Tribolium castaneum: one gene and its partners. The protein of the gene in region 1 binds, or shares a complex with, the protein of each later gene. Links are inferred from orthologs where the notes say so. Each region holds a gene or a part of one and is shown on either strand. Other genes may lie near its edges.

Region 1 (11,227 bases):
TCATATATACAAATTATGATTTTTTTTAACTATGTACCCCTATACCCCTTTTCTCAGATGTGGAAAAGAGATAAAAATTTGTTATTATATTTTTTTTGACTTCCTGCTAGTTGAAATAAAGACATATTTGAGCCTTTTGTTGCAAAAACTTGTTAAAATACCCCTTTTTGCGATTCTAAAATGCCCAAAATTATCCCTTCTTCCCTGTTTGAATGTCGGAATGAGATATTTATGATTTAGTTTTTTGGATAAAATGACCAAAAACCCCCGTGTACCCCTTTCAGGTGTAGAAAATCGATCGACTTTTCGCTAAAATGTGCCTGGCTTTTGGACGCCTATAGTTCTGATGCTTCAGTACCATCGAAAAAGAAACCACTCGGCATCAAACTTCGTAATCTTATACTTTCCGACGAACTTCGACCCAAAGACCATAAAACACCCATCATGGTCTCTACCACCTTTAGCACTCTACATTCAACAACTACGAAAAAATCACATCAACGTTCACAAAGCGACGCTTCAGCCCTTGGTACACGACGCCCTTCAACCACCGACAAACGCCTCTGTATGGGCGACCTCACCTCCGGTCGTGCCTTTGACAACGGATGCACATGTTTCGACAGTTGCAGAGGCGTCGTCAATGACCTACGAGGCAAAAAGACTGAATGCACGTGCTCGGTAAGGGGTACCCCTTTTCAGAAAATGTTAATTTCGGTCCCCAGGCTTAAAATACAAGTCCTACCCCTTTTAGAAAATCCCGACCCCTTTTAGAAAATCCCGACCCCTTTTAGAAACTGACGACCCCTTTTCTAAAAATGCGTTTTTAGGCTCCTAGACTCGCCCCCGAGCTTGAATTTATGAAAGCGCTGATTTCAATCGGTAAATTACTGTCTTCTATACCGACCAAGGAAGCAAAAACTACAAGATTAGTAGCGGAATTAACGACACTTAATTTGAATTTGCCGGCTCGTGTTTGGTTACCCCTAGCAACGACCCCACATCACATTGTTAGGATACCGCCACAAGTTGGCGCCGTCTTAAATTCCAAAGATAAGGCACCTTATATTATCTATGTCGAAGTGGTGGAAGTTGATGATTTGCATACGTCAATTGTTACACCAAAAATATGGCCAACGTTACGTCACACAAAATCTGAGGAAAATTTAGGTGATACGACCTCATTATCGGCGTTTAGTATGTGTGGGGGTTTGTGTGATGATACTGACCCCGATTGGAGTCAGGAGGATGATGAAATATCGCAACAGGTAATTTTTGGTTTACAGCACGAGGCAAGTGAGTGCCTCAAACTATATATTTTTTTTCAGTATACGCAATTGAAACGTATAGCTGATCGCGATACGTTGTCGCAAATGTCACAAGAATCGAGTGATTCGAGGGAACCCCCGATGTGGATAGCAGCCGGGGAAATACGCAGACGTTTGTCTGATTCAATTCATGAGGAAAAAAATAAACAGTTCACCCATGATCCTCAGGATCCTTCTGCCGCAGTGCTGAAGGAACCATGGCATGATAAGGAGAGACGTATTCGTGAATGTAGCCCATATGGGCATTTGACATCATGGACGCTACTGTCAGTGATAGTGAAATGTGGCGATGATTTGCGTCAGGAATTAATGGCATCGCAACTTTTACAAATGTTCCAGAAAATATGGGAGATGGAACATGTACCATTATGGGTGCACCCATATCGCATACTTTGTCTATCAAATGATAGTGGGTTGATTGAACCCATTTTGAATACTGTCTCACTCCATCAAATCAAAAAACATCGACAATTGTCACTGTTGGAGTACTTTATCAATGAGTATGGACCAATAACGTGTGAGGAATTTTTGACAGCTCAGAAAAATTTCGTACAAAGTTGTGCCGCCTATTGTCTCTTTTGTTATTTGATACAAGTGAAAGATCGACATAATGGAAATATTTTGTTGAAAAGTGATGGTCATTTAATTCATATCGATTTCGGTTTTATACTGAGTATGTCACCGAAAAATTTAGGATTCGAAACGTCGCCGTTTAAATTAACGGCTGAGTTTGTTGAAGTCATGGGTGGTGATCAGTCGGATATGTTTGAGTATTTTAAGATTTTAATTTTGCAAGGATTGGTCGCTGCAAGGAAACATATGGATATGATTGTTCCATTGGTCGAGATTATGAGATCAGGTAGGTTTTTTTTCAAAAACTTATATTTTCCAAACGGTGCATCGTACGTGAATAATTCTTTCATTTTTGGATTCAGCGGGTCGTTTTACGTAAGAAAAGATGTCGGTTTTAAGTTTATTCGGGTGAAGTAGGTTTGACTGTAGTTTGTTGAATTTTGGGAAATGTTATTTTTTGACTTTAAATTCAGTTTTTGTGGGTTGTTTTACGACGTACACATTTTTTTTTCTTTAAAATTCGGTTCTTTTACGGTAAAAATAGCTGAACTAAGAATTTTCTTGTCATACCGGGTGACCACAATTTTGCGGCCACCTGCATATCTCGGTTAAAAATGGCGCTAGAGCCGTCAAATTTTCTCTGTACAGTGTGTTTTTAACCTTGTTTCAGGTTCGCAATTGCCGTGTTTTAAATCGGGCGCAGCGACTGTCCAGAATTTGAAGAACCGTTTCCACATGAGTATGACCGAGGAGCAGTTACAACTCGAAGTGAATCGTATGGTGGAAGTCAGTATTCACTCACTATCAACGAAACTTTACGACGGTTTTCAATATTTCACAAACGGGATACTTTAAAAAAATGCTCAATTATATCATAAACACCATGTATAATAATTTTAGTGCGAAATAAAGTGATCTGATTTGCCATGTGAGTGAAGAATACTCAGCGGCCAAAGTGTGGAAGCAAAAAAACTTTGTATATATAACATTCCATTTGTACAGTTGTTTTTTAAAAATCTAGTGTTTTTTGTAAATATCTACGTAAAGTTTTAGTGTTGGCTAGATAATTCACGTTATCCATCCATTTTTAAATAAAAGTAATATATAAGTATATATTGTATAAATACATGACTGAAATTATATAAATGAAATGCAAAAAGACTGATGTCAGCAGTAGGCTTTTTGCAGGTGTTATTACTTTTTTTTTCTTGAGTTGGAAACCAATCAAAACTGTGCATGTTTTATTATGAAATTTTTGAATATTGTATTTTATTATATTATCTATGAATTGTATTTCAAATAAACGATAAATTAATAAACGATCACACTATTTTTCTATAACCAGTAAAACGGATACAAGCAAGAGGGTAAGTAACATTATACAGAAGTCGGTTTAACGTTTAACGAGCATAATGTTTGCCAAAACGAGTGAGCGCAAAAATTTCGAGGAAAAAAAATGGTGAAAAGGGTAATTACAGAAACCTGTAATGTAATAAAATTTATTTATCAAAATCTAACAAAAACCACATAGAGCGCGCCTCCACTGCTTCCCTTCGTACAATTCGTTTCTTATCATCGATTACTTGTCCTAAAACCTTTAAAACGTCATTTTTGTGAGGCAAAAGCATAAAAATTGGAAACTTAGAAGTGACTTCTTGTAAACACTGGAGGGCCAAAATTCGCACTTTCTGAAACAAAAATTAGCAAAAAAACCTGTTTTATTTTAACTAATTACCATAGATTTATCATAAGTTGCTAATTTGAGAAATCTTGCCAAAAAAATCCCCAAATTTTCCTCAATAACTTGTTCCTTAGTTGTGATAAAATCGCGAATTAATCGCAAAATTACAATGAGAATCTCATGATTGGTGGTGTGGTCAAGACACGAAATAATTAATTTCGAAATCTACAAAATTAAATTAATTGGTTAAATTCAATTTGAAATTATTACTTTTCTAAATTGGACTAAAACGGCCGGTTTTGGTGCGAACTCTAGTAAATATCCAAGGCCTGATAAATACGAATTCTTGTCTGGACTGTAATTCGCACTTAATTTATTCGTAACTATCGTAAAAAACTTCTGCTGGTACAAAAATCTACAAGTTATTTAATTAAAATTATTTAAGTGCTAAATTATCAACTTACGCAACATTGCAATGACTTTTGGTACTTAAAGACTCCGAATTGGACATAATTGTGCGAAAACACGGAGCTATACTTTCATCTTTATCCAAATAATCGATTAACTAAGGCGGAAAATTAATTAATTAACGACTGAGCTAACGCAATTAATTGCCTACTTTTGTGGTCCAGAATGTGCCTAATTCGTGATTACGCATAATTAAGGCCTTGGTGAGCCATGACGTAAGAATGGGGTCGGTTTTAGTGTCAACCCGTTCCAAAAATTCCCTAATTACATCATCTACAATTAATTGTAATAATTAATTAAAACACGGAATTAAATTACCATTGGGACATTTGTTCAAAATATTTGCAACCAGTTCTATAGCTGCGTTACGTCTCAAATTATCCCTCTCCCTAATTATAAATTCAATTAATTCGCTTAAAATTTCGTAATTAATTACAACATCGCGCCTTAAACAAGTCAAGATCCCGCTTAGTAAAAAAATATCCTCAATCTTAATTCGACTTAATTCGTTTCGAATCATTTCATTTTGTTTTTCGCTCGACATTCGACCAATCACAATTTTCAAAACAAATGCAATCGTTTCGTGACACGTATCACCAGTCAAAGCCATCTCGATCAACACATGGGTGATATTTTGTGCGTTTAAAACGTCAAAAATCGCGTCACAATCGTCAAATTTGATTAAAACTTTTTGTAATGTTTTTATTGCACAATTTTTCAAAATTAAATCGATTAAATGGGCCGTGAAAAATTTTTGATTTGCCAAAGTCACACACAAGGCGTCTAGAAAACATGGAGTATAGTTTTCTGTATTACCGACCACGTGCGTAGCCACTTCGTTCGGGTAATCCCGTGCTAAAGCTTCAAGACATTGTAAGACAGCGCCTTCTTGTGGCACTTGTAACAACTTGACGTAGTTTTGGTAAAGTAAAAGTCGGATTTTTTCGGGTAGTTTCGGCGAAATGTCACGTAAACAATCAAAAGCGATTGGTGAGTCAGATTTTACAAGTAAAACCGGTACTTCCCCGAGATTTTCTAAATCGCTGGCAAGTGCATACAAGTCGGTTAGTAGGCGCAAAAATGGTGTTTTTTCAGCCGTTGTGTTGGCTATATTATACATGTTTGTTAATATGGGGACGGTTTCACGCGCTACGAGGTTGGCAACGCTGTCCGATGCGTTGGCAACACTGATTATCAAACGTGCCGACGGTTGGAATAATTTTGAGTCGGGTAAAAAATTTCCTTTGATTGTATCGCAGATATCTTTGACCGTTTCTGTCAAATTTGGGTCACGTGTGTGCTTAATAACAGCTGTCATTGTTGTTAAACAGGCTTTTTCAATTGCTGGATTTGTCGTTTGGAACAGTTCTTTTTGTATGAGTGGCCATACTGTGGTTGGTGAAATATCAAAAGTAACAAATGATAGTTCCTACAAGTTTGGTGTTTAGTCTGCGGTCCGCTACAAAAAAAACCACTTACAATAAGTCGTAACGAATCCAATTTAGCAATTTCAAGCGAAGAATCGAATTTTTCTAACGCTAATTGAAGGGAGAATTCGGCAAATTGTGGAACGGCAACGAGGCAAAAGGCGAGCTTTTCAGCGAGGGTATTTCGAGTTATGCCCTGTAAAAAATTATTATTGATTGTCGTTTAATGGGGACAAAGTGGGCACGTTTTCGTCCTGTGGCGGAGCCCTAAAATCAACAGGGAAATAACACGCCAGGATTTCGAAAGCGTCCTCAGCCAGGTGCCCCAATTTGACTTTTCGTAAAAATTTCGGAAACCAATCAAAGAGAAAAATCAGGTTTTTGGGGCTGCGTTCGCCATCAACCGCCGAAATAACACCGTAGACAAAGTCGGGCCCCATTTCATCCAATTCTGGAAAAAAGACTGATATTGAATTTTAAAAGGGGGCCCAAACCTGGCCAAAATTTCTCCAAACAAGTCTCGAAAATTTGATAAATTGCTAATCTGTCGTTTTCTTGTTGTTGTTGGCACGAGACATTGTGGAAGAGTTGGACGAGAAAAGGGCCAGGGCCCCCTTTCGGGGCCCCCTCGCACCGAATTAAGGCGAGAAAACCGCGCAAAACGGCCGGTAACACCTAAAATCGCCCTCAGTTAAAAAACAGTAGCCCCTGGACTGACATACAAAATGATTGTCCTTAAGCCGGTCCGTGTAAAACTGATTTAAAAATTTTAATTGATTTTCGTCCAAAACATCGGGGGGCAAAGTCTCGACGACACGTGTCAACACCCACATGCCCAGCTCGCGCCCCTTGGGGCTCGTATCGATAAGGAGCCCCCCTAGGTCCTCGACAAGGCGTAACAAGGTCACTTGACCCGATTCAAGTGCTGAAAGTTGAGGTTATGTCACAATGTGGGGCCACTTGTACGTACCTTGGGCCAATTCGTGGCATTTTTCGGCAAATTCTTGGTCATCTATTGTAACATTTTCGAAATTTTTGGCCAAATTCGAAGCCATCATAACCAAACTTTTTGACAGATGATAATTGACCACGCATGCCCCAAATAACCTACTATAACCTTCATTTTCAAATTTCAAAAAATTACGCATTTAATTGCAGATTAAATTAATGACGCATTTAATTGCAGATTAAGTTAATGACGCTTCTGTAAACCGACCCTTAAACTTCCGTATAGCGCGGGTTTTATTTTTAATTTTTAAATAAAACACAGGACCGTACTTAGATTTTTATTGACTCAGTATTGCTCGCCCATAAGTAATACAACCAGGGCCGTCCAGCCCGTAAAAGGCCTACAGCCACTCCCCTCCCCCGTTTCGTCATTATACTGTTCCCACAGATAACCCGTTTTGAAATATTGCGTCATCACGTTTTTAATCACATTTTCCCGCAAATCTTTATAAATCGCGTTGGCTTTATCCCGATAGGGCCCCTCCGTATTGGCGTAGAAATACAAGGACCGGACTGCTAGAAAATTGATATTTATCCAAATTTGGCCCCTCCAATATGGCGGATCATGTTCGGTGTTGCGTTTCATATACAGGGGTGAATTTTTGGACAGTGATCTTAGACCAAACTTCGTCCATAACAAGTCAGGATTTCGAAGGTCATCCAAAATCTGGCCCAATTTCAACGAATCCGAATCAATCATTTGTAACAAAAACGGAAACAAACTGACGTAACCGAAAGTCGAGTCGACCAATCGGTATTCGGGATTTTTCAAGGTCACACGCACCATCTCCATGTTTTGGTTTTGTGACCTTGGTAACGGTTTCGGTCGTTTTAATTTAACAGAATCAGTGTGGTAACCATAATCGGCGTAACGCGATGCGTAATTAGACCAATGTAAATTATCCAATAGGAAATTGTCTTTCAAATAATCGGCAGTTTGTTCGTATTTATACCCATCACGGTCCAACAGTGTTGCCAACCTTGCTAAAGTATCACTAGCTATGGCGATCCAACAGTATAGATCGACGTGGTATTCGGCTTCGGTCGGATGTGACGCTCGTGGATAATCGTCAAGGCCCGAAGTTAAAGTTTTCGGATTCAGCTCACGATTGGTTGTTGCGTCACGCCCCCTCCACCGGTACATGCCAGGCCCCGCCCCTTTTTGCGTGGTATTAAACCATGCAAACCACGCCTGTAACCTTGGATACAACCGTTCCAGTGTTGCCAAACGTCCCTCGCTCAACTTATCGTAATATTTACGCAAAATGTATTGCAACGTGAGGAAGAAAGTCGGCGGATTTGCGTTAGTATTTCGTTGGACGATAAATTCTTCGGGTATTTTCGCTATAGCTTCAACACCCAGGATTTGTTCACGGGGGATCCACCCTTCAACGTTCATCAAATCGAACCAATGACTGATAATGTCAAGTTCAAGGTCAAGGTCCCACGTTGCGATCAGAAAGCCATGGAAACCTTCGTCCCATAGAAAACCACGAGGGAAAAAACTTCGAGACGGGACTGCTGTGTATAAGGGGGCGTGCCAATAGTGCACCGGTTCTTTGGTGTAGAAACTTTGCACTTTGGAAGTGCCGTAAAAATAGCCGATGCCTCCCAGCATGTTACTGAGGGCCGATTGGGCGAAGGTCACCTCTTTCGGACCATAACTAGAAAAAATCAAAATTGGCCGATTTGAATAAAAACAAGTGCTAACGATCGCGCTCGGCGCAGGACTCAAAAGTATGAAAAATTTTCGAAATCTGACCACAAACGAAAAAGTTATCGACAAAATTATGATAATAGTCGGTCAGGTCAAAGTTGGCGGAATTGGACAAAAACAAGTACCAACGATTACACTCGGTCTAGTGGTCGAAAGTATAAAAAAATTTCAAAATCGGATCAAAAACAAGTAAATAATTACCCTTTTTTGTGTAATCCAAAGGTATCCTCAAACCTTTGTCCAAACCTGGCCACGTGCCAAGCTAAAGCCTTGCTGTAAGTCTCCCCCACCAGCGTATCCTGTCTTGTACCGAAACTACCCGATTCGAAAACGACATCGATCGAAAACGGGACTTTACCCGTTAATTGTACGGCGACGAAGTTTGGTTGTGCCTACAATATTTTTTCTATTACCGTGCACTCAATTCTGATCAAGTGGCCTATGATTTCGAAATTAAGTTGTCAACAATGCCAATAGACCAGCGCCGTCTAGTTTCAATAATTAAATAAAGATTACTGTATTACCGACAGGCGGGAATTTTAAACTTTCGAAATAACGGGCCACTTATTCTCTGTGCACACGTAGTACTTTTCCGGTGCCCGTTTCCGGGAGTATTTCCCCGCCCAAAACAATACGTCTGGGGGAATTTGGTTTGTCCTGTGCCAGTCTTAGTGACCCCACCACTGTTTCCTTGAGTAGGTGAAGTCCCGGGGCTACCGTACTCAAAAACGATTCATGACTCACAACACCGGAATTATTCGTAAACTTAATAGTGAATTCCCCTAAACCGGTAGTTTCCCCCTTAATTCCGGTAAATTTCGTAGCAGAATTAGTAAGCGAGATAAAACCTTTCGTTTCCTCATCTAACGCTGTATACCAGATGAGTGAAACATCCTCACTTGCCCCAGGCTGCAAAACCCAATTACCAAATTCGCAAAAAATCTCCAAATTTTTACTTTGGTGACACTGATCCGAGCCGTCCAATCGCCCCCATGGCTGCCCCCAAGTCGCTTAACAAACGACGTATCGATATTATAGCCCCCATCGATAATTTCCTGTACCCCAAAATTACTACCATCATGTTTAACCCACCCATATTTTTCCAACCCATCACCTTGTTCACACCAATGACGTATCCCATCACCCCCTGGACGCAACCTTTTGGGGAAATACCACATTAAACCGGTGACAAGTGACGTGGGGTCACGTGTTTTCAACCCGAAATAAAGCCCCGGCCTGTACGTCCCCCAAAATTGTTCCGGGACTTGTAGCCCACTTTTGACAACCATCTAAAATGAAAATTTACCAAAAGTGGGGACAAGTGTACCAATTGCACCTTCTTATCGTCGAAGGGGGTATTGACACGTGTCTCCAAGTACCCCATGTAGCCCAGAGACACCGCAATTCCCAGAACAATACAACCGATGATTTGCTTCCAGTATGAAAGGAGACTAGTGGATTTTGAAGATCGGTTGTTGGTAGAGTTGCTACCATTGCTGCTGCTACTGTTTGTACCTTTATTGGGGTCTGCGGCGCCCTGAGTCCGTCTCTGACGTGCCATTTTAGGGTTAGGTTTTGATGGCACCCGAAAAGCAATTTTTAACCCGACTTTACTACACTGGGGGGTTTAAAACGGCACTGGAAGGATATTTTCATTGATTGTTCCGCTTTTTTGTGTCAATTTCGTGCTTTATTGCTGATTTTTTATTGACATTTGTTACCCCACCAGTGGTACCAATTGAGAGATAAGCACCGTTTTTGTTGTTTTTAGCCCGACTTTGGGCGTTTTTGGATAAATTGTGACCCGTGGGGTCCATTTCACGCACAAGTGGGTCGCGGTCTAGGGCTTGAAAGCCCAAATTTAATTTTTCGCGTTGCAATGTAGTATTTTTTGGTTGGTCGTGTTGGTGTTTAGTTTTGACAATCTGGTGGGAAATGTAGCCGGTTTTCGCTCATTTTCCATAGAATTTGGCCCAAAACTAGTGACAATCGCAGTGAAAATTGTTGATTTCGTGTCGTTAGTGATGTAGGAATGTACTCGGGTAGTGATTCGACCGAATCTCAGACCTACCCTCAATGGGCACTCAACCCATCAACGTACCAAAACATGTCCAACGAGCAAGTGGATTGGGCCGCTTTGGCCCAACAGTGGATCATAATGAAGGAAGCGGGGCCACCACCAGTTATTTCGAGCGAAAAGGCCCCAAAAAATGAGGGTGGCGAAGCCCCCATGGACGTCGAAGACAAGGACGAATCGCTTGAATGGCACACGCAGAATGAGTGGAGTTGGAATGCGCAGAACCAGCCGTGGGGCTGGACGCCCCCCATGGGGGTGCCACCCCCGGTGCCCCTAAAGCCCCCTCTTTTGCCCACGCCCGCCAACTTTAACTATAATGCGCCCCCTGAGAGCGTCAACGACAACGCCAATTTCACTGGGTAATTAATTATTTATTATTTTTTTTACAAATCAATCGATCGGCTGTTTTCGGATCTGTCAATCGGTGGCGCGACATTTGAATTTTTCGGTAAAATTAACCGTAAACCGACTCGAAACATGGATTTTTCATTGTTTTATTAATCTCGCTTTAATAAAATTTTTTTTTTGGAAAAATCAATTTTTGGGCTTAAATCAACCGTTCGGGTGCGTTCGGTCGTGTTCGACTGTCGGCGCGAAATTTGAATTTTCGCCCCAATTTTGGCGTTTTAGCTACTCTACTGTACCCCAAAACGACTATTCGTCGGGTTATTGGACTTCTGCCGGAAGTTCAAAACAAGTAAAGCCACACAATCGACGATTTAGTAAAGTTAACGTTCCACGACCGGTACAACCCCTAATCAGTGAAACACAGCCAACTTTGGATGCCACGAAACGTAAACAATTGCCGGCTTGGATACGTGAAGGTTTGTATTTTTTGTTGTTGTTTGGGTCACGTGATACAAATACTCGTCCAGGATTGGAGAAAATGGAACGTGACAAATTGAAACAATTGGAGCGCGAGAAGGAGAAACAAGAGAGAGAGGAATATAA
Region 2 (9,933 bases), on another chromosome or scaffold:
AAAATATTCGTATTTTGGGGCAAATTTTGTAAAGGAGCCGTAGCTAGTCGTTTCCAAGGCTCATAAACTATTAAATCCAATACCATAACTCTTATCTTTTTCGTTCCTCCCCGAAAAACTAAATAAAAATTCTGAACTAATAGAAGCGGTAGTGGCGCTGCGGTGAGGTAAAGCGCTCAAATATTTACAGAATGTGACCGCGCCTGTTAAACCACTTAAACTCTTCGCAAACCGACCATCAAATAATTCATATTGAAATTTATTTAATACACTTATCGTCGGGCGGATATCAGCGAGAACCTCCCCGTCCTTCGCATTATTCACGATGTTTAGCATCAATTTTTAATTCTCCCTTGGGCGGTTCTCCCTAATTCGCGCTATTGCAAATCGATGTTATTTGTTCGAACCGTCTGCCACCGTTTCAATGAAATCTAGCGGGAATGAAGTACCAAGAATTCCGATAAAAATAATAAAGTTAATCAGTTGCGTACCAACTCGAGAAGGCTGAAACGAGCGCGGAAAGAACATCGGCGCTCATCTTTGCGTGCTTAAATCTTGTTTGAAGATCATTATCCGGACGCTGCGCCGAAATGGTCGTGCGAAATGTGTAAACTAGAAATAACTTTAAAAAAGCCCAACGGAGTTAGAGAAAACGAGAAATCGAGACGGATGTTGCTGTCTTGCTCGCGTGTTGTATGTTTTGGCAAAAAAGCGAATTGCTTCCAACTTTTGCCTATTTGAATTGGAAATTACCCACCGATTTTGTTGCTTTTTGAGCTCTGATTGCCTTTAATTAAGCCCCTTTAACAAAAAATACTCCAATTTAAAACTTATGTACGGCTTGTTTTCTAGAAATACGTCTTTCGGTGGAGAAAAACAACACAGAAGTTGGTATTTAACTTAATATTATTGCACTTGGTGTTTTTACTCCTTGCTTACATTTCTTGGTCGAAACTTTGGTTTTATTTTGCTTTTATCGCGGCAATTTTATGGTAAAGTTGAATGTAAATTTAAAATGAGACAATTTATTAGTGGAAGCGAGCAAAATCAAAGCAATAAAACCGTGGAAAAGCGTTCAAGGCGTAGATTGTGTATCCATAGATTAAGACGAGATTATCGCCATTATTTCGGGTTAGTTCAGGATATAAAGGGGAGGATTACTTATATCTGAGATTTATCAATTGACTAAGCCCGGTTCTTTGAAAAATGTTCGAAACAAAACAAACCAGTGTAGTTATTAAAGTTTGCTTCTGAAGCAGAATTGCCAAGGAAACGGCAGTGAAAATTCACGACAAACAATTAAAAACTCTTGTTGGTTTCAGTAATCGATGTGATTTCAGATTAAACAGTTTACAAACAAATATTTATTATTACATATTATTATTATTTTATTATTATTATTATTATTATTACACTTATCTTATCAGTATCATTTCACATTAAATGAATTGCATTTACCTGAATGTTTTTAAAATGTTAAAAAACGGGTTAGTAATGTAGTTGTGAATAAAAGATCATGTTTTAAAGAGAATGATAAATAAACATCAATATCAAACGAAATAGTATACTGACTGATCATTATTACTCCGCTATCTATTATTTATAAAAACCAACATGAAAAGGACAAAACGTGCGTAGTTTTCAATCAATATACTATTGTTAGTATCTGTAATTCTAAACTATCGTATTTCTTGTTTTAGATTTGAAAATACATATTTAAGTAAAACTAGAACCTAATCAAATACTTAACAAAGTTTAATTTAACTGTATTTCAACCCCACAATAAATTACAGTCAATCAATGTTCCGCAACTTTATTTCGTTTAAAAACAATTATTAACACCAGACGCCAGGAATTTTTTTCAAATGATTAGCGACTTAGCCAGAAACTAGGAAATAAGTTATTAAATTTGTTTAAAAACTTATTTATTTATTAAACATTTGCACGTTAAGAAAAATTGCAAATTGTAAGTTTATTTTGTAGATTTTATTATAAATTAATCATTACCATAATAGTATTATTTTAAGTAATAAGTACCAAACAACGTTATCCTTAAAAAAACTAATGTTTGGTTTAGTTTACGTTTATTGTACGACATGAAATCACACATAAAATAGGCGAAATTCACGACTACAGGATATTTCACATAATTTTACGAAGCCTGTCGGTGTAAGATAAAATCAACAATGCATGTTCTGTGTCTTGATAGAGTAGTACATGATAATTATTTCCGAAAAAAAATAATTCACAACTGTTAATAAAATAGCGATTAGTTTGACAAATATACTACAATGGGTTTTCAAAAATAAAATAATTGAATTTTAATTAACAAATTCCGGAATTTTCATAAAAACTCCTGGTCAGCGCCTTCTTATTCTAGCCTAGGTTAAATTAGAACAGATAAGATAAATTTTTATAGTCTGGACATTGTGTCTTGCCGTTTCGAACACCTTTTTAGTCGTAAGTTAACACTTTTTTGGGGAACTGATCCCCAATTTCCATTTTTTTAATATTTGATATAATTAAAAACTTTCAAACTACATAGATCAAGAAATTAACAGAAATAAAAATTAAACATACAGTATAAAATAAAATTTAAAAATATTAAAAATTGCAAATATAAAAATGGTGGATGCGCCGGGCTAGCTTTTAATCTTATGTTATTAAATGGCAAATAAGCACATTTATTGTGTGGCTTCATAATCGAACATTTTCCATAATGATGATCACGCAAGGGCAAAAAGCAATCCTTCCTAGGCGAAGGGTTAAAGCGGACATTTACGGCCATCTCCGAGTCTCTCTTTCTGCAAACTCATTCTGACTAGTTCATATAACTGTCAGCAGAGAGCGACATCGCTTCATCATGGTCAAAGCCAGTAGATATACTAAAGTAGCGACACGGACCTTGACAGGGCAACAATAACGATTATATACTCTAGAGAGGGCGCAACTATCGAAATTCGACATATACCGCATTATTTACATAAAATGCCTAGCCTTGAAAAGCCTTAGTAAGTGCGTTTTGTCTCTGTTTCTACGTTTAATCTTCACTAAATGAAATTGCTAAAGGGGATGCTCTAAAGAGATATTCGTTAAAGGTCACATTAGATGATAGATTTAAATTGAGAATGTATTTAAACAAGCAGTTTAGTTTTCCAAGGCTCGACATTTTTTGTAATAACGCTGTAATTTTAAAGGTTCGTCAAATTGTCAGTAATTTTGAACATACGTCAAAACTGTCAAGATTCTCTCACTTTTGAAAAATTGGTAAAGAGTACAATGATTCTGGTGTTCATCTGTAGTTTTACTGTGGTTATTGGTTATGAACAGATTCCATGGAACTTTCAAACCTGTGCTTCAATCACGTAAATAATAAATCGACACCAAAAACATTAAACAAAGGAGCCTCCAGACTGTTCAAAGTCGTCCACATTACGAAGCACGTCTGTGTAATAATACTAGAAACTCATTCAAACAAAATTTGATTAAGAAATGTAAAGTGGTAGGTATCAACTTCAAAGAGAAATTTCTAAGATACCAAATTTTCATTAAGTATTTCAGGTAGATTTAAACAATACGTCCTTGAAAATTCATTCTAAATTATTAGATTCCGCCCTAATGGGAAAGAATTTAAGACCGCTCTGCTTACACTGACCTTCGTTTCAGAAAATTTAATGCATCTAAATCTGGGAATTGTAGCGCATCGAAGTTTGGTGGACTTTTTATAGCCACTTATTTACAGCAACTATGTTATACAAAATTTAAATAATAAAGAGAAATTCAGGTTGTATTATTTCTATTTCTTAAGTAATATCGAGGTGTAAACCGTACCCCAAATTTTGTACACCTGTGATTTAATCATGATTCCTTCTGATTTTTCCCTAAATTTTTAAAGTGATTTCCTTAAAATTTCTTGATTTACTCAATTTTGTACACTGATTTCCTCTGCGGTTTACCTCTCGGGTAATATTGAAAACACTTACTTTTATTATTGCGAAAAATGTCTTGGTTTCATAGCAGTTGTTAATAGTGTTGAGGGAAAAAATTAAATTTAATTAAAAAAAAATAAATCGACCAATTTAAAATCTTGGAGTAATTAAATACGATAAACTGTAAAAACACTTAGAGAGGAGTTTATTAAAATTAGAAATGTAAGTATCACAATTTTTTTAAATCAAACAATTATTATTTTGAAACGTGTTTTTGGCTTTTTCGTTAAATACAAAGTTCAAATTCTTTTAAGGAATGAATTCACTGTTGAAGCGCCAGCACCTTCTTCGAAATGTCCATAAGAGTTGCTGTATTCTGCGCATTCTAAAAGCCTTTCTCATTGCAATGTTCAGTTGAATTTAGGGACGATCTGATTTATTTTTACGTGAGTGAAGCACAAGTTTGAAGGTTTCATGGTATCTGTACACATAAACTGTAATAACCAGGGTGAAATTATAGACGATCACCGAATTTATTGTTCTGATTCACCAATTTTTCAAACGTGAAAAAATCTTGACATTTTTGACGTACGTTTTTGAATTTTGATAGTGGAGCCATCTGTAGAGTGTATAATCGTTATTGTTGCCCTGTCAAGGTCCGTGTCGCTACTTTAGTATATCTACTGGCTTTGATCATGGTCAGTGTGATGAATGATACGGTCAGTAAGAAGGCGCCACTGTCGCGTCACTCACCCGACTTGCACACGTAATTTTCATTTTCTCCGCCAATCCGATTAAAAACGAAACTGCACAGCCAAGTTAAAAACTCCCAGAGACAAAAACGAACATCACGCCTTGTCTCTAAATTACTCTTTATTTATCTAAGTACGTGCCTGGAGCAGGTCGCATTGGAACCCCATAAAATCCCGAGTACAAGTTTTAATGTTCCTTTCAGTTGTTTGACTCCAAGGAATCCCCCATAAAGTACATCGTTTATAATCGAAATATACGAGATAGGTGCAATATAAAATGATCATTTTATTTCTTTATTAAGTCGGACGTTCCCTCGAGTTCGGAAACAGATCGAAGTCGTTTTTTTATCATGGTTAATGTCCCAGTGTGGTCTTTTAAATCGAGCATTAAACTTTTCGGACCGAATGGAACTTGCCGGACCACACTGAAACATTAATTTTTGCGCCGCCCAAAGGGCCGATACAAATTATTTCGATTTGGGATCGAGAGTTTTCAGCCGTGGCTTGCCGCCGGCTCAATTAATTTGGAAATCAATAACAGTCCACTGTTGTACACATTTTTGCTAAAGAGAACTAACGCGTTGCAAACAAAACGTCAATGATGTCCACGCTAGTTTTACGGTTTGAAATATATAACTCTTAAGGAAAAAATTACCAAATACGCCGAGGCCGCTCAGCGACCCTTAAAAAATCCCATCAATTTTCCCAATCGGCCCCTAAATGCATAAAATTGTGTGGAATAAATCAACTTTGTATTCATAAAGCAGACAACAATCAGACAAATAAATACATTCCTGGTGTTCTGCCTTATTCTGGTAACCGCCGGCACAAAAAAATGATTTATCGGCCGGCGTCTGGTAGACACACCAGGTTTATTCTTGGCCAAAATATCACGTTGTCATTAGTAAGATTGATGTTTCCTCGTATTAGTCCCGATCGAATCCCTCCAGTCGTCCGCATGCAAACATCTCTAATTCGCTGTGAAGACAAGCCGCCCGTGCAAAACTGCATCAAGTCGATGTTTATCTTCTTTATGGCTCCTGTTTCCTGCTTGTTAGAGTCCAGAGTCGAGGATTGTTTGACCAAAGCACCCCACAAAACATCCTCTCGAGTTCCAGGTGAATCTCCGGAAGTGGTTAATCCATTATGTATGTTGCTGAAAGCATCGGGATTTTGTATGGAAATCATTCCGTAACTTATGAATAGGCGGATAGGGCGCAAGTTTACTTACTTCTTGCTGCGGCATTAAAGATGGATGGCTGAATCGGAGGATTCCAAAAGCCACCTATCGACTGTCCGCCCCCTTTAATAGTTTATTGAAACGCGAAGACTTGGGGTCAGATTTTATGGAAAGAACGGATTTATGGAAAGCGCAATTTACACACACAAAAATCGCTCCCCATTGTTGCGAAAAGCAACTCTATGGAAACTACAAACTGACACGACTTTGACTACCCAAATGGAGAAATACTACATTTTAAGGAACCCTCAGTCTAGATTAGTTTTAGATGGAACACAAACGATTGTTGCCGCCCGCCAAGTCACCAGGTTCGACACTCAGCTGTGGAAAGTGGAACATGTGGAGTGTGGAAAATTTTTCATCCACAACAAGGCTAACAAAGGGTGAGCGCTTCCTTGTTTTTATAAAGCTAATCCCGAAAGTGCAAACTTAGAAAAGTTTTAGACATCGAACGTGAAAGTAAAACAGGAGCCAACATCTTACTCTGCGAAAAAGAAAATGGAAACATAAACCAAAACTGGTACATAAATTCCGACGGTTCCATCGTCTGTGCTAACGGTGATGATTTTGCACTTGATATTTCAACGGACAGAAAAGTTAAACTTGAACGAAAGACTGGGTACCAAAACCAAAAATTTGAATTCTGCAGCAGAGGTGATATCTGAATTAACTACCCATCTAAGAATTAAAGTGGAGATTTGAACCAAGTTTGTTTTAATAAAAACCGCCACTTTTTGAAGTGTTATGTAATTATAAAGTCGAAGAATGAATGTTTTTTACCAAGTGTTAAAGAAACAGATAAATTGACGAAATGGTACTTTTAGAAAACCAGAACAAGAAGAAAAAGGAAATAAAAAAGATCTTGCCACAAGCATAACAAGTCAATTATATAAACTAAATCTTCGAAAACTATTAAATTGTTATAAAAAATACTTTGAAGAATGAAAACTTTGTCTGATGCAACGTTACGAACAGCAAAAACTGAATTAATTTAGTATTCAAAATAAATATCCCAGTAGTTTATAAATTAAAATAAATTGTAAAGCTAATGTAAAAAAACATGTGACAACTTCCAATTTCAACCTTAATTAACATAAGTACCACACATCTAACTAAATGAAAACGTATAATAATGCTGAGTCATTTTAAACTTGTGAAAAAGTATGAGTATTTCGCGTTATCTGATGCTCACCAGAGTTTCAAATTAATACTACAATCAAACCAGACACAAGCAATAATAAGATTTCATGAGATATATCGTCAAATATACACACACAAACAACGCAGCAACAAATCAGTAACATATTTTCTAACAAGAAATAAAGTGGACACGATCTTTGCCATTTACTTGACAATCCAGTTTATCTAGTCTCAAGTTTTTACTAGAATGTGTATTCAAAGTTATATTTTACAGACACAGACCTCGTAGAATTTTGGAATCACCCGGTAGAAAATAGTTCAAAAATGGTGGATGCGCCGGGCTATTTGTTCAATTTTCTAGCACAATCACTGTTACTTTTTGATTATTTTGTTGTTCCAATTTTAGAGTAGTATCACCTAGTACTGGGCCTAGTACTACTAGTAAAATTTCCAAATTGTTTACTATGCACAGTCTGTAGTAAATTTGTAGCCTTTATTGAAAAATAAGACTGAAAATAATAGGACTCATGCATAAAATTGTAATTTTAATAAAAGATTTGCAAAGTTGCGAAAGGTAATAAAAGTTACATTGAGAATATGGACACGCTTATCATTCCCCGTGAATCGTCCTGCAACAACCACTTTAGATTCGAAAGGATTCCATTAGGAGAGTTTAGGCAACCAAATCTACAAATTGAATTGAACTGAAAGACACTTATTATTGTGAACTTATAAATATTTTTTATTTATAATAATCATATGGGTACGATCTCAGGTATCATCAACACAAAAATATTCTTGTAACCAACTAATATTAATCAACAATTAAAATGTCGACTCAATCTGTTACGGTAAATTTCCATTGAGGTATTTTTCTTATTCCAAAAAACTTGTGATGAATAATTAAATTAAAAAATTAAAAAATACTATTATATTTAATTTATTTATGTGTATTTATAAAATACGAGTATATTGCCAATTTGGTGTCACAACACCTTTAAAATTTCTGCAAGTCATTGCTTTATATGGATTCACCTAATTATAGAATTCTGTTCGGAAATGAAAGCCCCACAACCCACAACAATTAACTATTACGTGCACAATCAAAACCTTTCGAACTTGGGTTATCATTACAAGAGCTTCAACTTGAGATAATTTTTAAATCTGGCAATCAGTAACAAAATGACCTCACACGACGCCGGACAATTTTCTCAACAAAAGCCTTGAATTTTTTTAACTTCCTTTAACAGTTTTCCAAATAAGCACAAAATGCCTGACCTTCTGGAGCTGGTGGAATTTGAAGGTTAGAACAGCTGATCAATTACCATTACTCGTTACATGAGTTATTTGTAAAAATTACATAATGTTTTTATCATTTTTCCGGAAAAAAACAGATAGTCCACGCAAGGAAGTCAAGGAGGTGAGTGAAGATGATAGTGAATTGAAATATACAGTTTATGGTGAGTGCTTGAGCCTGATTTTAGTAAAAATTTAATTTAGGGGTTGTTTTAGATTTAATTCGCACTATAAAGGACCCAGAGAAACCCAACACTTTGGAAGAATTAAACGTAGTTTATGAGGAGGGAGTTGAGGTGATTTGTTCCTTTTTTTTTGATAAATTGCTGAGTTTATGGTATTTGAGGTTAAGGAACGTACTTCTGGCAATGTTAGCGTTGTGAGGGTTGAATTTAATCCCACTGTGCCCCACTGTTCTTTAGCAACGCTAATTGGATTGTGTATTAGGATAAAATTAGAAAGATGTATTCCTTATAGGATTAAATTAGATATTTATATCAAGGCAGGAGCCCACACAACTGAACACGAAAGTAGGTCAAGTTTAAAGGCATTTCGTCAATAACATCTTTTTTTAGTCAATAAGCAAATTAACGATAAAGAGAGAATAGCAGCCGCAATGGAAAATCCAAACTTGCGGGAAATGGTAGAAAACTGTATTGTTGAAGAAGACTGAACTTTGTATCCAGGTATTTAAGCCGAAATGTTATTTACTATTTTATTAGAATTACATATTATATCGTATTTATAAAGTTTTTCCTTGCTCCTTTCAGTACAAAATGAGACTCTAGCTTCAAGCTCTCAGAAAATTGTTCTGGAAAATTTCCCAAAAATGTTTCCTGGTTTCGATGTTTCACTGTTGAAAATCACGGTGACGCAGCATTTCGCATATTTTTTTTCAAGACTCATTCTATTTTTGAAACAGCGTCTCATCGCTGTTTTGTGATTAATAAAAAATCTATTTGGGGGTTTCACAAAACATGAGTAACAGATATCACACTTGGGTTTATTTCAGAATAGAAAAAATACATAAGTAAAATATAAATATCTTGTCTCATCCCTATCTCTATTATGCACCATCTTGATTTGATAATTTACAAATTACACCTAAAAATCATAAGGAAGTCACTTAGACATTACAGAAAAGGTTAGGTTGCAAACAAATCTAATCCTCGTGCCGTTTCTATAAATTTTCTAAACGTCCTTATTGCTATTTTCAATCGGCTTTATAAATAAATAATACTATAACCGCCAAATTTTCGCTTAAATGTTAAAATTTTCTTTAAAAACACTTGTTTCCAAAAGCTCAATCAAGCAATTATTTGTTGCTTCACTCGCCAAAATTTCATAATTTTGGTTTGAAATGTTAATGTTATTATCAGTGTCCAGTTGTAGCAGTCTTTGCCTTTTGTAACCTAAACATAGAAAAGCCACGAGGTTAGACACAAATTGAAGGAACGGCACAATTTTGTACAAAAATAACAAAAAAGGAGACATACTAATAACGCCTCAAATAACAAGTACAATTAAAAATCTGATAAAAAATCCTAATTAGCAGTCTCAAAAAATAACACCAATT
Region 3 (10,332 bases), on another chromosome or scaffold:
TTTCGCTTTGCGGAACACCAGAGGGCACATTCCGAGGATGCACCCCAGGGTGACCCCCAAAACACGTCCGAAATTCGCCGCATTTCGCGAACAAGTCATATCCATCTGAATTGGCGATAATTTCGGTGGCCGAAAACCTATCTTATTTGCGAGTCGTTCGACGTAGAAGGCCGTGCCGATGCCCAAAACATCCGAAAGCGTGTTACCAAGGGCGGCAGCCGCCATCGTAGTCATGCAGAAGTACGACCCCAAGTACAGGTCAATATAATCACCCTAAAAAACAAATAAAAAAAAAACTACAACAGAGAAAACTGGCACATTTTTAAGTACTAAAAGTTATCAAGTTGGTGGTTTTATCTAAATTGAGAAGTGCCAAAGGTGCCATTTCGTGACATTCCTTCAATTAATATAAAACAAGTGATATTTAGTACTTATTGTCTAATGAAAAGGACATTGTACGAGAGAAAACAAGAGAAAGTGGTGCTTACAAATAGCAACATGAAGAAGTTGTCTAAGAAGCCGAAACCGATGAACGGGATCGAGTTGGCTATGGCGACTGAAATAGATTTTGTAATTTGGCGCCAATTTTAGCCCACTTGATACTTACTGTCGACCAGGTTCCTGCTGGTTGGTCGAGGAACGGATTCGGCTAAAATCGTTCAATAAATCAAAATTGGGGTAAAATCAACGACCTTGACACACTTCACTCACTCGCCACTTCGTAACATGCAAAGCCATGCGAAAAAAATCGAAAACATTCATTTTACAACCCAAAAGCGTTCGATAAAAACCATAAAAATTCATGTATTACGAGAAAAAAATGTAACTCCCTTTAATAAGCGACTACGGAACGTTAGTAATTAATTACCCTATTAATAATTCAAACGGCCCTCAAATACTGGCTTAAATAATTCAGTTAGTTATTCATGCAAAGCTCCTACAAAAGAGCGGAATTTTATTGTTTTCGTACCAAACTTCTTCTTTAACCAGTCTTCGGGAACAGGACAATAAGATCCCGTGGGATCTACATCTCCCAGCCTTGGCAATTTGCTCGGACGTCCAAACTTACTTCTCCATCGTGAAGCTGCTAGTTGACCTTAAGTTTGGACATTTAAAAATAAAAAAGTAGCGAAAATAATCCAAGGACTTAATCGTTGCAAAAAGAGCCTCAGACGTCTGACCCTGTTTTTTATCAGTCATTTCAATTAACCATACAATACAATAAGAGATTATCACTTTTTTAAGTGTCACATACTGATAAAAACCTCGCAAATCCTAATTGTTTAAAAATTTGCCAGTGACTAGGCAAACCTAGTCACACGTGTGTTTTTTGGGTTGCCTACGTCTAACACAAATCGTAGTTTAATAATCGAAATTAAGCAAAAACAGCAACGAAAATGCTACAAATGAACAGAAAAACACAAATACCTGTTCTTTACCTTCGTACTCGTCTTTGACTAGTTTTGATTGGTACTCCTGGAGCGCCGAAATCAGGATATTTCTCTCCTCACCGTTCAGTCTCAAGACCAGTTCCTGCGCTTGTAACTTAGACAAGCCCTGAGTGGTGCTTGTGGTCTCAGCGTGCCCGCCACTGCCCCCCAATCTACAGCTTGTACTAAAATTAAGTTTGATATGTTGTGTTTTCAGTGCATATCTACATGGAGCGAAATTCGTTAGCTTAGTTCGGGGCGTCCAAGTGATGCGGTGCGCCCCCCTGTTGATCACTTTTGCTAAATCTAAGTGTCTCACTAGTTTTGTTGCCATTGTGGGGGCTATTTATTTAGTTAGGGGGAGGAGTATCAACTTGTGGCCCGCACGGAGGGTGTCATTTTGTAACTATGGCACGACTCTAACACCCACACACTCCCAAACGCGGTTTTAGTTCGAAATTGTTTGAAAATTATTTAAATCACTCAGGAATCATCTGAATGATCCCACTCCACCTGTGAGTGAGTGAGTCTAGCGGGCTGACGTCACGTCACGAAACGGCGCCAAGTTTGAAATTGGGCCTATATTTTGCTATTTTTGGCACTTTTTCGTGGTTTTGTGGGGTTAGATTATAAATTAGTTGTGTGCTTGGGTCTGTGATGGCCACCAAGGGCGAAGTTGCAAGTTTGGTTGGTTTATTTAGAGTTTGAAAAAAATTGAGGTTAGGGGGCCACGCGCATGTCCGGTGACATTGCCAAGGTCCATGATTAAAAAAACACTGATTGCAAATCTGTGATTAATTATACGCAATTGCGAATCATACGACACGTTTTGGGGCTGTTCCAAGTGGGTAAGACAATGTCTAAGCTTCCGAAACGGGTAAAGGATAAGGTGAGACTTGGCCCCCTTTTGCAAAAATCACGCGTTTGTGGCTTTAGAGACACATAGGGGAGCACCAGAAGTACATTTCGCGGATCACCAAGACCCTCTATTACGGTAAATTCCCCAAGACAGATGAGCTGAGTCTGCCTGTAACAGGTGGGTGTGTTTGTTGTGTTGTAAGTCAGTAAAAAACGTGTTTTTGTTAGAATTAGCCGCAGAGCTGTTCTCCGAAGCCCAGAAAGGCCGGTCCTTGGACAGGCTGCATTGTGACGATGCTGCGAATATTTCAAGAAATGCCTGTGTGTCCCCTTGCTCTTTGGTTATTGCGATTTTGTATCTAGAACGCTTGAAAAAGACATGCCCTGAGTATCTCGAACGCACGGCTTCGTCTGACTTGTTTTTGGTTTCTTTGGTAAAATTTGAATCACAATAAATTAGCGAAAAAACATTAAGTGGTTTCTAGATGGTTTCATGCAAATTTCTCTATGATGACGGTGAGGCAGATGAGGTTTTTATGAACGAATGGGCCCTTTCAGGGGGCATGAGCGTCAAACAGTTGGTTCAGCTAGAAAAGGAGTTCCTCAAAGCTATTGTAAGTATTCAAGACTGTTTTAAACAATAAAAAAATTGTAAAAAAATAGTATCATACTTAGGGTTATCTCTGATAGTTACGGAGTTATTGCTCGATAAATCGCGACAAAAATTGGAAAAATCAAACAATAAAAAATCGAACATAAGGTCAATGAAACTATGCTAGAACGAGTTTAAAAAAAATTGAATCCCAATTTTTTTTTCCTTAGGACTGGGAAGTCTTCGTTACTGAGCTGACATTTTGGAAGAAACTGTCCGAAATCGAAACGACCTTGGCCCGCAACCAGGGTGGAAAACGCGGCTTTTACACCTACACCGAACTAGAGCGTCTTTTAACAAGCGTCGAATTGCGAAACCTCATCCAAAACATTTTGACCATTTCTGTGATCCTCATTACGGCTTACACGGCCGCCTTATTGACTTTATTGGGCTCTGTCTTGATTGTTAGCCACATTCCGGGGGCTTGTCTTCGCCCGCAAATCGAAGCGCCGCCCTCGGAGCCCCTCTACAACGAAACGAACCGTGTGAGCCCCCTCCATGTCGGAATTTTCCTCGCAAGTATTGAGAGTTTTCTGACACCGTTTTGCAACAAAAGTGAGACTCAAAACGTATCCTGGGACTGGTGGAGTGCCCCCACGATGACATGGCTCTACGAAACGTCGAAATTTGTCGAAGTTGAGGCTCCGACTTTGGGTTTTTTGGACTTGAGACGATTCTATAAGGATTATTTTTTGAAATTGGATTTGGAGGATCAAGTGCATAAGGAGACGAAAGTTAGGATTCAAGACCAGTTGGAGAGGTCGTGGCACGAAGAATGGACGGATACGATAGGTGATGGGTTTTATAACAGGTACCTGCATTACCTACAAAATCTCAAAGCCTGATTTGATTGGTCAATAAAACCAAACATTTGACACGATTGTTTATTCACCAGCCTACTCAAACTACAATTAATGGGTCTTTATCGACACTTGAAACAATAATATTGACTGAATTTTGCAACAAATCACTCAATTGTTTCTGGAAACGCCCCAAAAAGCCCCGTTCGGAATTACTATGTTCGCAGAGAATCACATGAACCCCGTTTTGCGTAGCATCCAGGACTTCATGGTGGGACATTTCCCCCGTTAGGTACAAATCGCTCGTGAGCCCCTTTAAAACCGAAGCCCCCGAACCGGCACACAGCCCCACGGTTTCAATCCTCGCATCTGAAAATCACTTTCGTTTCACTCAATTTCAAGGGCGTGGCTTACCTAAACCTTTGTTCCTAGCCAATGCGAGTCGCAGATGCCCCACCCCGACATGTTTTTTGACATTTGCGACCGCGGTTTCCACAGTTATGGGCGTGTCTAGTGTGAGGATGCGCCCCGCCCCTTGTCTCGGATTTTCCAATGGTTTGATTGGCGCAATGTTTTTAAAAGCGAACGCTGAGGCTAGCCAATCATTAACGCCCCCTTCGACACAATCCCAGCTCGTATGGGGCGAGTAAACCGCAATTTCATGTCTAATACATTGGATTACGATTCGTTCTTTCCAAGTCCTGTGACAAAACGATTAGTTTTGATTGGCTGTGTAATTTGGGGCGTACTTGTCAGAGACTGTTTTAAGGCCTTGAAAGATATTAGGGTGATAGGAGATAATGAGCCCCGCTTGGAAGTTTTTAGCTTCATTGACCACATCCTCAGTGAGGTCGTTTGTTAATAGAATTGTTTTGACCTGTTTGTCGGTCATTGGGTCCACCAGGAGCCCCACATTGTCCCAGCTCTCGGCAAGGGTCAAGGGGGCGTAGGATTGTAAAGTTTTGACGATTTCTTTGACCGACATTTGGGGGCCCGTGCTGTAGTAATTTTTAATCCGACTTAGGGCCGCCAACCGTCTTATTAACATCTGTGGAACGAAAAAGTAATCTCAATGGATGGGCGACAGTAGGCTGTGACGTTCAATTGTAAACAATTGACATAAACAGCCGCCTATCCATCAAAGAAAAACAAAGGAACGTCAAACAATTTTATTCAGGGATAAATTTCCACAATTTAATTTCCCCGTCGTCGCTGCACGACACTAAAATATCACTAAGAAGGGGGTTCCAGGCGACGCAGTTGACATCCTGGGCGTGCGCCCTCTCAATGCAGGTGACTTGGCTAAACGTGGGGGCCTCTAAGTCGCCCCCTTCCTCCTCTTTAAAAATTCTGATAGCGTCGTCACCGCAAGCGGTGGCGATCAAGTCACTTGAGTGGTTCCAAGACACGTCATAGATGGTTCTGTTGTGGTACCCCGACATGGTACACACACATTTCCACGTTTCCTCCGTATTTTGGCCCTTTTGCCAGATTTTCAACGTGGCGTCGTCGCTACACGACACAATCCTTGTCCCCGTTTTGTCCCAACTTATGCTCCAAACCGTTGACTCGTGCCCCTGTAAGGTGGCAAAACAAACCCAGTCGTTGTCTGACTGGTCCTCTTTGAACAACTTAACCGTGTTGTCGTAGGAGGCCGAGGCGAGGATATCGTCATGTGGGTGCCACACGACCTGCAACAACCTCCATAACAACAAAAATCGCCCCCTTGCTACCTACTTTCTTCACATCCTGTGTGTGCGCACTCAACACGGCCGCGCAATCATACTCATCCTCCTCGGCAATCTCCCAAATCCAAACCGACTTGTCACGGCTACAAGTGGCCAAAAATCGCCCCGACTTCGACCAGGAAACACTCTTAACCTCATTTTCGTGCCCCTCAAGAGTGGCATTGCACTCGAACTCGCCCGATTTCTTGTCCCAAATGCACGTAGTGGTGTCAAAGGAGGCCGAGGCGAGGTAATTGCCACAGGGGGACCACGCAATTTCCCGAATTGTGCGTTTGTGGCCATCGGTTAGAATTACTTTATTCGACCACTTCGAGTCCGAGTCTTTCGACCAGATTCGGATGGTCTTGTCTTCGCCACACGAGGCGAACGTTTGCCCCTTCGGGTGCCAACTCACGTCCCAAACGCGCCCCGTGTGCTTGCATAAAGTTTGAAGGGGCTCAAGCTTTGACATTTTGGGGTTAGGGTCGCGAACAACGACAGGGTGGTTAAAAAGTGGTCTCGGGGGACGCACGACGTGCCAAAAGGGGGCAAATGTACTTAAGGGGCTTACCAATGCCACAAAACGTGAAAAAATGGGTGATTTTATTACGTTTTTGCTTCGTTGAGTTGGCCGCACTGTCATTCAATGCAGCCAACGCATGATTATTATTGCGTTTTTTTGCAATTATTTACCAATAAAATTGCGTACTTAAGTGCAAAATCAATTATGTTTCTTCTAAATTAATTGTTCGCTTAATTTTGAATTTTTTTTTCGTGGTTGAATGTGCGATTTTTGTTTTTTTTTGCCGTCGGTGTGGCCAGCCTCATTTGACGTTTACATTTTTTGTGCCGTGAATCACAATCAACTTTGTTTATCAAAACAATCGGTTTTGTGGGTGTTTTGGGGCCTCTTGGCACTGTTGGGTTGATCGGACTCGCCCCCGCCCCCACAACCCATCATTACGATGAACCATGTTACAGTTTTGGAGGAAATCAAAAGGTGCGTAATTTCGTAATTGATGTTTGGGTTTTCCTAATTAGTGTTTCCAAAGCCGGCAATGACACGAAATGCGCAGCCCCAGCGGTGACGCCGCGGCCCCGGCCCCCGAAGCCGCCCCCTCTGGACCTCGATATCGGTGAGTACGAAATTGTAGAAATTGGGGTTATTGTGTCTTAAAGATGAGTTTGAGGCAACGAGGTCACGGCTATGTCGGACCTTGGACGAGGTTTTGGGCGATAAGGGGGCTCTGGGCTACTTTACCCAGTTTATGGAGGCGCGAAACGCCGCCAAATTTATCAATTGTTGGGGGGACATTGAGTCGTTTAAGTGTGAGATAAGTACGGATTGCGACTCCAGTGACACCCAAAATTCGAGTGATTCGTGTGAATCTAGTCTAGTTGAGGGCGCTGTTGCGATTTTTAAAAAGTACATAGCTCAGGAGTCCGCTCACAATGTTAAATGCCCCGAGTCAGTTCGTAACGAACTCGTTGAAAACATTTGTGACTTGGAGAAAATCGCCAGTTGTTTGGACCCCGTTCAGAGTTTCGTTACCGAAGTCATGGAGAAGGAGTATTTTGAGGCGTTTTTAGCCAGCGATTATTTCTGCAAATACCAGATCGATGTTTTGACGAGTGGCCAAGTGGCCCTTGACGATATTCTCTACAACGAAACGGCGCTTTTCTACTTTATGGAGTTTCTCGAACAGGAGAATTCGTGCAATTTGTTGGAGTTCTGGATCGCTGCCACCAACTTGCAGCAACATTTGACCAATCAAAAGGAGTTTTTTGACCCAATTGAGGCCCAAAATGACGCTGTTGTGCTCTACGATAAGTATTTTTCGCTGCAAGCCCATTGTCCGTTGGGTTTCGGCGATAAAGTTCGCTTCGAAATCGAACAAAATATTTGCGGGGAGAACGGACTTGTCTTGGATTGTTTCAAGTTGCCCTTGAAAATCGTCGAACAAGTGTTGGAGAAAAACTATCTCAAACCGTTTTTGGAGTCACAGTTATTTTGCAAATATCTGTCCGAGTTGATAAACACCGTTCAGTCTAACGATTATTTTAATCTCGAGAATAATCGGACGCTTTCGTCCGATTGCAGCAGCGAGAAGAGTTTCAGTACAAATAGCGCATTTCTAGCGTTAGAGTTAAACTTTAATAATAATAATTGTAAAAAGAAGGATAAAAACGCAGATATGAGTATCGACACGAGGCAGTTGTGCGACCCCGATTCGCTCTGGAAGAGGAGACGAACGCACAGATTATCCTGTGGGAGGATCACAGCTTTGGGTAAATTTGAAACTGATTTGGAGCCAGAACCTGATCGGAAAAGTTTCAAGTTTAAAAATGTTGTCAAGAAGTTTGTGAGTCTCGACGAGGATAAAAGGAAGGAAGAAATGGCCTGGCAAGTGGCCGAAATGATCGTCAAAGATATTACAAATGTTACTCTAAATCAGGAAAAACCATCATCTTCATTGTGATAATGTCAGAGAGCTCAAAAATGTTGTATGTACGGCGGCGTGTGATAGAAACTTCCCACTTTTTTTCAAAGGCTGTGTTTCCCCCCGTGAATTGAGTTGGTAGCGCTGCGATCGGATGGCTCTGTAGGTTAGTCATTGGATTTTATTATTTTTGTATGATTGCATTTGTTTGTAAATACTTCTTTAATGTATAAACATATTTATATAATAAAATATTTTAACTAGTTGGCGGTTTTATTTTTATATTAAAAGGCGTAACTCCTTGGATTGAAACATTTCCATTTCAGTCTTATAATGAATTAAACGTATTTGAAATTTAGTTAAAATTCTACAGCACGCCACTGAGATAAAATTGTGTGATCTCGACAAAAAAATCTTCGCAAAAAAGACGATTTGTCGTTGAAATATCTACCCTTTTTTGTCGCCGCTTACGAAATGATAAGGTCAGTGCGGGTTGTGTCTTTCTATGCGAGCGTTGTTACCGCAAGATTTATCGGATAGTGTAACTTAGTGCGAGTGCTTGGTGCAAAAATGTGGTCAAATACCGAATTTCCCGAATTGCGCAAGAGTCACGACACCTTTTTTCAATGTAAGGTAAGTCAGGAGTTACTCCAATCAAACATCTCGCAACAAACATTTTGGTTAAAAAGTGCGTTCAACCGTTTATTTAGGGTGTATCAAAAATACGTGTGTTAAGTTAATAAATCTCTAAAAGGGCCGTTTATAGAAAACTTTCTTAAAATGTAATTCGTTGTTAAAAAGCGCGAATGGACCAATCACATTTGTTCAGTTTGGTCACGTGACCGCTGATTTTGGTCACAAAATGAAAAACCCATTTAATTTGAATGATTTATTCAACTAAGGCGTTGAAAATAACATTTGGCGAAAACTCAGCTCGCTGCCGCCGCTGCCTGGAATGTGAATTATTCAATACTTAATTCTTTAATTGTTTGCCCTTTTTTAATGCTTCTTCTTTTTTTTGCTTACTTGTCTCCCGCCTCCTGGATAAGCAAAAATTAAAATTAACTGGACGAAACACAGCACAAACCCAGCCACGTTTTGAACCTTGAAACGTAGAAATTAATAATTTTCCCACAATTAGTTCAAACTCACAAGCATGAATTCATTTTTTAAAATAATGGCGTACAAAAGCCACGAGAAGGTCACCAAAGTCGCCATTAATGTTAGAACGAAGGGGATTTCAGAGGCGTCTTTTTTCTCGATGATTTCTTTCTGCGATTAAAAGTTAGGGGGCTAAAATGTTTTGTTTTGATTACGTACAACTCCGAGAAGGGGGCTCCCCAAAACGGCAAGCATCAGTATTGTGACAATCAATCCGTAGCGAAATTCGACCACTGAGGGGCTCTCATACTCGCAATAGCCCCACAAGACCGCAACAAAAGCCATGCTTATGGAGAGGGGCTTCAGGATTTGCTTCCACTTGTCATTCGAGTAAAAATAATAGACGATGCAGTAAATTACGTTAAGGACGATTGCGAATAAGTTTACTAGCAGCATGTTTTCGTCCCCAAGCATCAAACCATATTTCAGCATTGCCAACCCTCTTATAATAATTAAAAATTATTATTTTTTTCTTCTACTAAAGATAATTGTGACTTACAACATGATACCGCCCACAAACGGCATCGAATTCACACCGTCAGTGTTGCCTTTTTTGTAAATGTCTCTACAAATGAAAACCCCCGAGAAAAATTGCAGAATTGTGAGGTAACTGGCCACCGTCCCCACGGTGTCTTTGTGGGGCTGTAGCGTCTGCGAGAGTGACTCCATTGCGAACTAAACAACCTGAAACTAATTACGACTTAAATTAACGCTGAATTAAAAATTCTGATTAGAAATGTGACACTGACAATAATTATGAATTAAAAAATTATCCATGGTTATAGAACGATTAACATACAACAAAAGTGTGGTATTTATCACTGCACTAGAGGTTGATTGAGGTCAAATTCATTTGAACCCCTTCTTCCAAATTAAACAACAAGGAGACAATACTCGCCGTTTACGAATTCGCAGCAGTGTTATAAGATATTTTATTATCTAATCGCAATTTACTGTTAAGCCTTGACACGATGACAAGCAAATAAATCCACTTTTGAAAATGTAGTGATTACAATTTTTAGTACTGGATGCAATAATCAATCCAGGAATCGTTTAATTGAGATTGCCGCTCGCAATAATGAAGAATTAATGATCTTCTCGTCATGTCCTTGACTGTGACCTTCGTCCCCTTATCTCACAACCCCATCCTAACCTCACTTTTGACATGTGTCAACCTAACTTCAAAAAAATTGTGACCGACTAAAAGTGCTTAAAATATCGTCAATAATTGGAAAAAAATCACACTTCTAACAACAGAAATGG

Evidence for each region.
Region 2: Mms19 (region 1) and galla-1 share a complex: the UniProt entries of both Homo sapiens proteins name them as parts of the CIA complex. The link is inferred for Tribolium castaneum from reciprocal best matches to the Homo sapiens genes MMS19 and CIAO2A.
Region 3: Mms19 (region 1) and Ciao1 share a complex: the UniProt entries of both Homo sapiens proteins name them as parts of the MMXD complex. The link is inferred for Tribolium castaneum from reciprocal best matches to the Homo sapiens genes MMS19 and CIAO1.

Annotation. Positions count from the first base shown.
Region 1 is NC_087400.1:4,133,668-4,144,894, forward strand, and holds Mms19 (MMS19 nucleotide excision repair protein homolog), read right to left. Parts: upstream 6,602-11,227; 5' UTR 6,533-6,601; coding exon 6,445-6,532; intron 6,400-6,444; coding exon 6,197-6,399; intron 6,150-6,196; coding exon 5,969-6,149; intron 5,926-5,968; coding exon 5,720-5,925; intron 5,671-5,719; coding exon 5,527-5,670; intron 5,477-5,526; coding exon 4,366-5,476; intron 4,321-4,365; coding exon 4,199-4,320; intron 4,145-4,198; coding exon 4,044-4,144; intron 3,995-4,043; coding exon 3,850-3,994; intron 3,805-3,849; coding exon 3,634-3,804; intron 3,587-3,633; coding exon 3,398-3,586; 3' UTR 3,384-3,397; downstream 1-3,383. Other genes in the region: fwd (phosphatidylinositol 4-kinase beta), read left to right, coding at 285-678, 828-2,184, 2,569-2,753; GCS1 (mannosyl-oligosaccharide glucosidase), read right to left, coding at 6,769-8,146, 8,401-8,591, 8,788-9,108, 9,156-9,488, 9,536-9,760; arginine/serine-rich protein PNISR, read left to right, coding at 10,232-10,635, 10,907-11,100, 11,152-11,227. UniProt on the Homo sapiens protein: Key component of the cytosolic iron-sulfur protein assembly (CIA) complex, a multiprotein complex that mediates the incorporation of iron-sulfur cluster into apoproteins specifically involved in DNA metabolism and genomic integrity.
Region 2 is NC_087396.1:14,604,754-14,614,686, forward strand, and holds galla-1 (MIP18 family protein galla-1), read left to right. Parts: upstream 1-8,185; 5' UTR 8,186-8,330; coding exon 8,331-8,364; intron 8,365-8,455; coding exon 8,456-8,521; intron 8,522-8,573; coding exon 8,574-8,653; intron 8,654-8,703; coding exon 8,704-8,887; intron 8,888-8,932; coding exon 8,933-9,030; 3' UTR 9,031-9,043; exon of another isoform or gene 9,044-9,098; intron 9,099-9,127; 3' UTR 9,128-9,411; downstream 9,412-9,933. UniProt on the Homo sapiens protein: Component of the cytosolic iron-sulfur protein assembly (CIA) complex, a multiprotein complex that mediates the incorporation of iron-sulfur cluster into extramitochondrial Fe/S proteins.
Region 3 is NC_087395.1:25,657,051-25,667,382, forward strand, and holds Ciao1 (probable cytosolic iron-sulfur protein assembly protein Ciao1), read right to left. Parts: upstream 6,257-10,332; 5' UTR 6,111-6,256; coding exon 5,478-6,110; intron 5,432-5,477; coding exon 4,910-5,431; 3' UTR 4,896-4,909; downstream 1-4,895. Other genes in the region: uncharacterized protein LOC660444, read right to left, coding at 1-273, 489-556, 608-649, 971-1,096, 1,440-1,764; protein CNPPD1, read left to right, coding at 2,287-2,319, 2,367-2,466, 2,517-2,722, 2,774-2,902, 3,111-3,785; pkaap (A-kinase anchor protein 10, mitochondrial), read left to right, coding at 6,440-6,467, 6,520-6,603, 6,647-7,947; sugar transporter SWEET1, read right to left, coding at 8,908-9,012, 9,061-9,180, 9,229-9,511, 9,569-9,738. UniProt on the Homo sapiens protein: Key component of the cytosolic iron-sulfur protein assembly (CIA) complex, a multiprotein complex that mediates the incorporation of iron-sulfur cluster into extramitochondrial Fe/S proteins.